Linked DNA regions of Neurospora crassa OR74A. The main gene of each other region encodes a partner of the protein of the gene in region 2 in a complex. Links are inferred from orthologs where the notes say so. Each region holds a gene or a part of one and is shown on either strand. Other genes may lie near its edges. The genes, in order: NCU11012 and NCU01772.

The links.
Region 1: NCU01772 (region 2) and NCU11012 share a complex: the UniProt entries of both Saccharomyces cerevisiae proteins name them as parts of the RNA polymerase III (Pol III) complex. The link is inferred for Neurospora crassa OR74A from reciprocal best matches to the Saccharomyces cerevisiae genes RET1 and RPO26.

What each region holds. Positions count from the first base shown.
Region 1 is NC_026503.1:2,365,594-2,369,343, reverse strand, and holds NCU11012 (DNA-directed RNA polymerase I), read right to left. Parts: upstream 2,175-3,750; 5' UTR 1,872-2,174; coding exon 1,828-1,871; intron 1,724-1,827; coding exon 1,442-1,723; intron 1,369-1,441; coding exon 1,249-1,368; intron 1,194-1,248; coding exon 1,157-1,193; 3' UTR 626-1,156; downstream 1-625. Other genes in the region: NCU00039 (hypothetical protein), read left to right, coding at 1-586; NCU00038 (C2H2 transcription factor), read left to right, coding at 2,613-3,750. UniProt on the Saccharomyces cerevisiae protein: DNA-dependent RNA polymerases catalyze the transcription of DNA into RNA using the four ribonucleoside triphosphates as substrates.
Region 2 is NC_026502.1:2,489,861-2,493,780, forward strand, and holds the start of NCU01772 (DNA-directed RNA polymerase III polypeptide), read left to right. Parts: upstream 1-1,414; 5' UTR 1,415-1,600; coding exon 1,601-3,920. UniProt on the Saccharomyces cerevisiae protein: DNA-dependent RNA polymerase catalyzes the transcription of DNA into RNA using the four ribonucleoside triphosphates as substrates. Second largest core component of RNA polymerase III which synthesizes small RNAs, such as 5S rRNA and tRNAs.

The DNA.
Region 1 (3,750 bases), on a different chromosome or scaffold from region 2:
GAAGGATTTCTGGAATCACAAGCCGCCTTCGTCGCCCTCCCTTACCGGACCTGGTGTTCCGACAACGACGGTGATTACGGTTCCTTGTCTCCCTGTTAGCACTGGCAAGCCGACATCTACTTCCGTTCCAACGTCCACCAAAGCGGCCACATTCACAACCAGCACCACCACCACCGGCACCAAATGCCCAATCCCAACATCCACCTCCCTCTGCAACCCCCCCAAAAGCAACAAACCCCCCGTAGGCGGGATCCCTCTCCCCGTAGTAACCTGCAACGACCTTCTCTCCTCTTTCTCGTCCGGTCACCCCTTCAAGCTGTACACGGACTCGGACTCGAGCAAGTGCAAGTCATACGCTCGCTCGTCGTTCTCGACAGCCTGTCTGGATGCGTGCCAGGAGCAGTACGATGATTGTGTGGATGTGTACGCCAAGGGGTGCAAGGAAGGAAAGTACGGCAAGGATGATTCGACCTCGTACGCGGGGGCGGTGCTGAAGTGTAAGGAGCAGTATGCGGATTGTACGTTGGCGAATTGGGGGAAGAATGCGGGAGCGAAGTGTAAGGTTTGGGGGACGGGGCCTTGGTGAGGTGCTGACTGCTGAGCCGTGTGTGGTGCTGGGACGCAGAAGGAAAGGAAGGGAAGCTTGGGAGAACTGGTGTTCATAAGGATGTTGCTGGACATGCGTGGTGATAGGGATGGCGGTAAGCTTGACACGAACGCTGTTCTTCGATTCTCAAGTAGGTAATTTTGTATGAGTGTTATACTCTATTCCTTTTCTGTATAATTGACATACTAATTGATCTGAATATTCGCTATCAAATAGCGACAGGAAATCTAAGCAGATATCAGCATGAAAAGTGCGGCGTAAACAAGGCTCTTGATACCTCATATGCCCAGGCCTGTTGAACAATAGCACGAACGTACAGGACAATGACTGATCAGACGCACGTGAATTTTTGAATGGGCCCTTTATTCAACTCGAGGAGCACATTGTGCTCTTGTTGTTGCCCTTTGGATCGAGTCCAACCGTCCCAAAATGATCAAATATGATGTATAAAACTTCAACCTGAACGCCCTCGCTAATGCAATTTTGTGTATTTTCTGACCAAAGACTGGGTCGCCCCTATTACCCCTGACGGGTCTTGTAGGTTTCCGTTTACTGCAGGAGCTCCTCGCAGGTCCAGTCCTCGTAGCTACGTAGGGATGTTAGCGGGTATTCGGCTAGGTGCCGGGAAAAGGACAACTTACTATCCATCAGGCATGTAACGACGGACAATCAGAGGAATCTTCTTCTCGCGCAGCTCCTTGATGGCGATTTGAAGAGGATCCGTCTCACCCTCGAGATCAACCAGCACTGGCGCGTTCATGCTACAAAGGTGGTTCCTTGTCAGCCCAAATCCGTCCCTACAGTCGTCCAAGCGCCACCGATGAGGAAACCCACCTGATTTGCAGAGCACGTGTGCCGAGGATACGAGCTTTCTCGTACTTGGTCATGTAAGGTGTCGTGGAACGCTGGTCGTTGGGAATCTTCTTGTCCTTGTGGGATTTCTCGTTGCCCTTGCCAGCGTTGGCGGCCGCGTTAGGGTCACCCGAAGTGACTATGTTGTTATCGTTTTCGGCCTCGTCGACTTCGTCGCCGGGTCTGCCCGCTACGTCGTCGTCCGCGGGCTCGGGTTCGGGCTCGTAGTACTCATCCGGGTCCTCATCGAAGGCGGGCTCGTCGCTGGCGGCTACGTGTTAGCATCTCTTGCGTTACGCATGAGTTGCGGTATCATGTGTAGAGGTTGATGCCAAGGACTAGGTGGGTAGGTGGCGTTGGAAACCTACATAGGCTCGCGATCATCGTCACCGTGGTCACCGTAGTCGGACATTTTTGGTGGGTTTGTTTAGGAGTTGATTGATGGTAAGGATAATAAGATATGGGCTGCAGCTGCACAAGTAGAGGTAGGTATGTGGACAAAATGGTATTGCCCAAAACGCGTGGATGTGGAAGACTGGACGTGTTTGGCCGACCGTGGATGCGCAAGGTGGTGAGGGAAGGGCGAAGGGCTGACAAAAGGACGACAGAAAATTCGAGTGGGGCCGCTACTTTATGCAAGGCTGAGCCGTGCCAAGACATAAAACCTTAAAGAGACATGGGGGGTAAGAAGTGATGATGTCTCATTCGTCCAAAGTAGTCTAAAGAGTAGAAGAGGGGAGGGATCTGAGAAGCCCCCACCTAGCTAACTTAAATAGGCTAAGAATGCCCAATGCACGTGACACCAGAGAAGTGGGTCACAGGGGTGGGGCCAATGGATGGGCCATCAGCTTCTTCATGGGTTCCCTTCCTCCAGGTCCCCCGAATTTCACTCGCTCGTAAAATTGCCTGCCGGTGCTGGAACCGGAAAACGTCAGATAAACTTTTTGAAGCGGCAGGGACACCCACCCCGGACGAAAAGTCCAATCGGCAGGTGCAATGCAAAGGTTCCGTCACAAATGTGAACCTCCAAAAAAAAAATCCATCCAAGCGAATTTCCCAAAAAGCGTGGAGCTCCCTCTCTCCAATGTCGAAGCTCCAACCAAGTCCAGGGTAGCAGGCCACGGCGACCAGTGCTGCTACTCCAGGCCTCAAAATGAAGCGGAAACAGGACGACGAGCGCCTTGATGGCCATGACGGCCCCGACCATGCTCAAGTCCAATCCAAGAAAAGAGCTACTGATTGGGTCCAGCAGCAGCAGGAGGAGGAACTCTCACAAGTAGAGCAGCTCGAGGCACCGGCCCTACCCTCGCAATCGCGATCGCCACCTGCTGGCGCAGAGGCGGCAGCTTCTGATGGCAACGGCAACGACAGCCTCGAACTCGACCCTGACTCGGCCTCTGTTGCCTCGGTTGCCAACACCTCCCTTACCCACGCCGATCCGACGACTACGGTAGCAGCAACTAGTATCAACACTACCACGACTCGTGCTTCACGCCGCTTCCCCTCCGATCTCAAGACCATCAGGTGCACATTCGCCGGTTGCACCAAGACCTTCAACCGCCCTGCTCGTCTGGCTGCCCACCTCCGATCTCACACAAACGATCGCCCGTTCAAGTGCCCCTACGATGACTGCGACAAAGACTACCTCGAAGAGAAGCACCTCTCCCAGCACATCAAGGGATCTCATACCAACGATCGAAAGTACACATGCCCCGAGCCCGGTTGCGGAAAGTCCTTTGTCACTAATACACGACTTCGCCGCCATGCTCTGGTTCACGAGGGCGCCGATCGCTACCGCTGCCGCGGCTATGGGGACTGTGTCCAGAGCTTCCGCAAGCACCAAACGCTCCAGAGACACATCCGAACCGTTCATCTAGGCAAGTCGGCATATCCATGCGGTAACGACGGGTGTGACGCCGGCTTCGACACTGCAAGTGCCTTGCGAAGGCACGTAGAGCGCGAGCACGGTGACCTGAAGTTTTGGTGCGACGAATGCAACGCTGAAGGAGAGGGTGATGACAGTGGAGGTCGCCGTGTTGGATTTACCACGATGCTGCTGCTTCAAGCCCATATGAAGAAGGAGCACAACAACTGCGCCTTCTGCGGTGTCAGATGCGGTACACAAAGCAACATGATGCGTCACGTTGAGCTCTACCACTCAGCCAAGACAGTCGAAGATCGAAAGACGATTGCTTGCACGTGGGAGGGCTGTGACAAAAAGTTCACGCGTGTCTCCAATCTCAACACGCACATCAAGTCTGCCCATGAAGGCCATCGTTTCGTCTGCGGAC
Region 2 (3,920 bases):
GCCCCAGATTCTCTTACCCGCGCCCTTGCGTCCAGTCTGCAGCTGCCCCTGCGCGATGTTAGGCCTTGTCTGGAACCGGATAGGTAATGATTGGCTGGCGACAGAACGGGAGAGGGATTGCGTGTTGCAGCACTCTAGCTGACACGCGAGACAAGCTCGAGACAAGGCATGGGAAAGGTAGCCATAGTGACAAAAGGCACAAGACAGTGAGTGACAGGCAGACAGCCGTCAATGTTCAAGGCTGGACACTCTAACCCTCACTTCTGCCCTGTGGAAGATTCAGTACAAGAGAGAAGATCGATTTACATTCTGAGCACTCAAATGTACGATAGCCAGGTGATAGCTATGGTAGACGCTGAGATATGGAATGTCTTGAATGCTCATTGAGACCATGGTAGAGAAAGCGAACGCACAAGTGCAGCGCCCCCGTGTTTAACCTTGATGTGAAATCTCCTCGCCTTTTTTTTTCAATTGCTCCTCTTTCGGATCTTGCCCCACTGCTGGGTTGGGTTCCAGGTCGATTCAAGCAAGGTAGCACCCTGCTGGAGCTGGCCTAGGAAAAGATGGGTACCTACCTACACTATGCTGTAAGACACGGCCAACGGTGATGCGACTCTTTGACGTTTGTATAGTCAGCCAGAAGCATAACCCTTCTCTGATTCTTGAAGCCTGAGCAGGTCACAGCACTTGGGAATAACATCAACCTCCGTTGTATGCGATTAGCAATTCAAAGGCTGCCATATCAACGAACAAAGACCGAAGAAGACCATCAACATGATAACAGGTAGGAGAGAAATAGTGAACGACCCGGCAGGTGATTTCATAACCAGAAGCTCTCCCCTGTTGACTGGTGTGTCGATCGAAGGCCCGGCTTCCGCTTGGCGCGGCTAGATTCAGCAGAACGGATACATAGCTATCTTGAGGTTACCTAGCTGGCCTGACCCCGCTACAAATTGTTCAAATCGCTGTGCTAGTTGAAGTTGGATAGGTAAATACAACCTACCACCAGGAGGCAGATGTGTCGGAGTTGCACAGAGGCGGGGGTTCCTTATCACGAACATCAAAGTGACGGTCCGGAGTCAAAGCAAAAGGAAAGGTTTCAAAGGTACCCGACAGGTGGAGGGCACGGCCAAAAGTGGAACAAGGAACCTACATAGGTATATGTAACTGTCAATCAGGGGTCCAAAACGTGGGCGCTAACAATTTTGGCCTCGGCATACCAGTTAGGTACCACTGCAGTCACTAGCAGTCACCGGTCACCGCACCACAACACTACCTCTAGTGTAGTGCACTACACACACTAACAGTCAAGCACAGACCACTCCCGCCCCGTCGTCCCCCACCGCCCCAGCCGCGGCTTACCTCTACTGACCTAACAAGAAATGGCAGCGGCCAGCCCGTAGAAAAAGTTTATCGCAACTAATCCTTATCAATTTGCCGCGGGGCCAAAAATCACATCGAAATCTACCTACACAACTGCAAGGCGTATCTTCTCAACCAAACACACATTCCCGGTCGTTCCGCGCCCATCATCGCCATCCTCCATTCCTCCGGCCCGATCGATACGACGAACCGTCACCCGCAGTTAGCACATGCAAGGATGGCGGCTCTCGACGATGGCTTTGAGGCCCTGCTGGAGCCGTTCTACAATGGCAAGAAGCTGACCGATCCCATCTCGACCACGCAGGACAAGTTCCATCTTGTCCCGGCCTTCCTCAAGGTCAAGGGCCTCGTCAAGCAACACATCGACTCGTACAACTACTTCGTCAACGAGGAAATCAAGGACATCGTTAGGGCCAACCGCGTCGTCCGCAGCGACCAGGACCCCAACTTTTGGCTCGAGTTCAGAGACATCCGCGTCGGCATGCCCACCCGCACCGAAGATGGCGAACAAGTCCAGTCTCGAAACCCCGTCACCCCCATGGAGTGCCGTCTCCGCGACCTCACCTATGCCGCCCCCGTCGAGGTCGACATCGCCTACACCCGCGACAAGAACGTTATCGTCCGCAAGAACATCCCGCTATGCCGCATTCCCGTCATGCTCAAGAGCGCAAAGTGCTACCTCAACGGCGCCACCAATGCCCAGATGGAGGTCTTCAACGAGTGCCCTCTCGATCCTGGTGGCTACTTCGTTATTGGCGGAACCGAAAAGGTCATCTTGATTCAGGAACAGCTTAGCAAGAACCGTATCATTGTCGAGGCCGACGAGAAGACCGGCGGAGTCATGGCCTCGGTTACCAGTTCCACACACGAGAGAAAGTCAAAGACTTACGTCGTACTCAAGAAGGACCGGATTGTCCTGCAGCACAACACCCTCTCCGAGCCCATTCCCATCGTCATCGTTCTCAAGGCCTTCGGTGGTCTTTCCGACAACGACATCATCGAGCTGGTTTGCGGTGGCGATGCGCGCTACCAGGACGATTTCCTCATCAACTTCGATGAAGCCGGAAGAGCTGGTGTCTACACACAACAACAAGCGTTGGAATACGTTGGTGCTAGAGTCAAGATGGGCGGTAACAGACCCAAATTCGGTGCCGCTCCTCGAAGAAACCATGCTGAAGAAGGTCTCGACGCACTTGCGAACTTAGTTATCGCGCACGTTACTGTTGAGGGTCTCGACTTCTATCCCAAGGCCGTCTACATTGCCATGATGGTTCGCCGCGTGCTGATGGCAGCTCAGAATCCCAAGCTCGTCGATGACAGAGATTTCGTCGGCAACAAGAGATTGGAATTGGCTGGACAGTTGATCTCCCTTCTATTTGAAGACTTGTTCAAAAAGTTCATTTCAGACGTCAAGTACAACATTGACAACTTTTTCAAGAAACCCAACCGTACCTCTACGTATGATCCCCATGGTGCGATCATGGCTAACGGCCATTATATCTCTCACGGTCTTAACCGCGCCATTCAGAGCGGCAACTGGACGGTCAAGCGTTTCAACATGAACAGAGCCGGTATCACCCACGTGCTCAGCCGACTCAGTTATATCGCTGCGCTGGGTATGATGACGCGTATCAGCTCACAGTTCGAAAAAACAAGAAAGGTTTCCGGTCCAAGAGCCCTACAGCCCTCACAGTGGGGTATGCTCTGCACCTCTGATACACCTGAAGGTGAAGCCTGTGGTCTGGTAAAGAATTTGGCACTCATGACACACATTACCACGAATGTGCCGGAGGAACCAGTTAAGAAGATGATTTTTGCTGCTGATGAGAGCGTGGGACCGATCCGAGAATACACCGGAACAGAGATGCACAGCAAAGGCTCGTATATCATCCATTTGAACGGTACACCATTTGCTGTGACCAGGGAGCCAAAGCGGTTTGCCGCCAGGTTCAGAACTTTGCGTCGCCGGGGCTGGGTCTCTCCTTTTGTGAGCATCCACATCAACGAGCACTTCTCGGCGGTTCATATCGCTACCGATGAAGGACGTATTTGCCGCCCGTACATCATCGTCAAGAACGGCAAATCCATGTTGAAGGCAGAGCACCTGAAGATGCTTCAACTCGGGCAAGCGACATTCGACACTTTCCTGACCAGCGGCGTGGTTGAGTATCTCGATGTCAACGAAGAGAACGATACCCTTGTGGCGCTTCAGGAGGATCAGATCACCAACAGCACTACGCACATGGAAATTGAGCCGTTCACGATTCTCGGAGCAGTCGCTGGTCTAATTCCCTTTCCCCATCACAACCAGTCTCCCCGTAATACTTACCAGTGCGCCATGGGTAAACAAGCCATTGGTGCTATTGCCTACAATCAGTTCAACAGAATCGATACCCTTCTTTATACCCTTGTTTATCCCCAACGACCAATGGTCATTACGAAGACGATTCAACTTATCCACTACGACAAGCTCCCGGCAGGACAGAACGCCACCGTCGTTGTCATGTCTTACTCTGGCTACGATATCGAAGATGCGC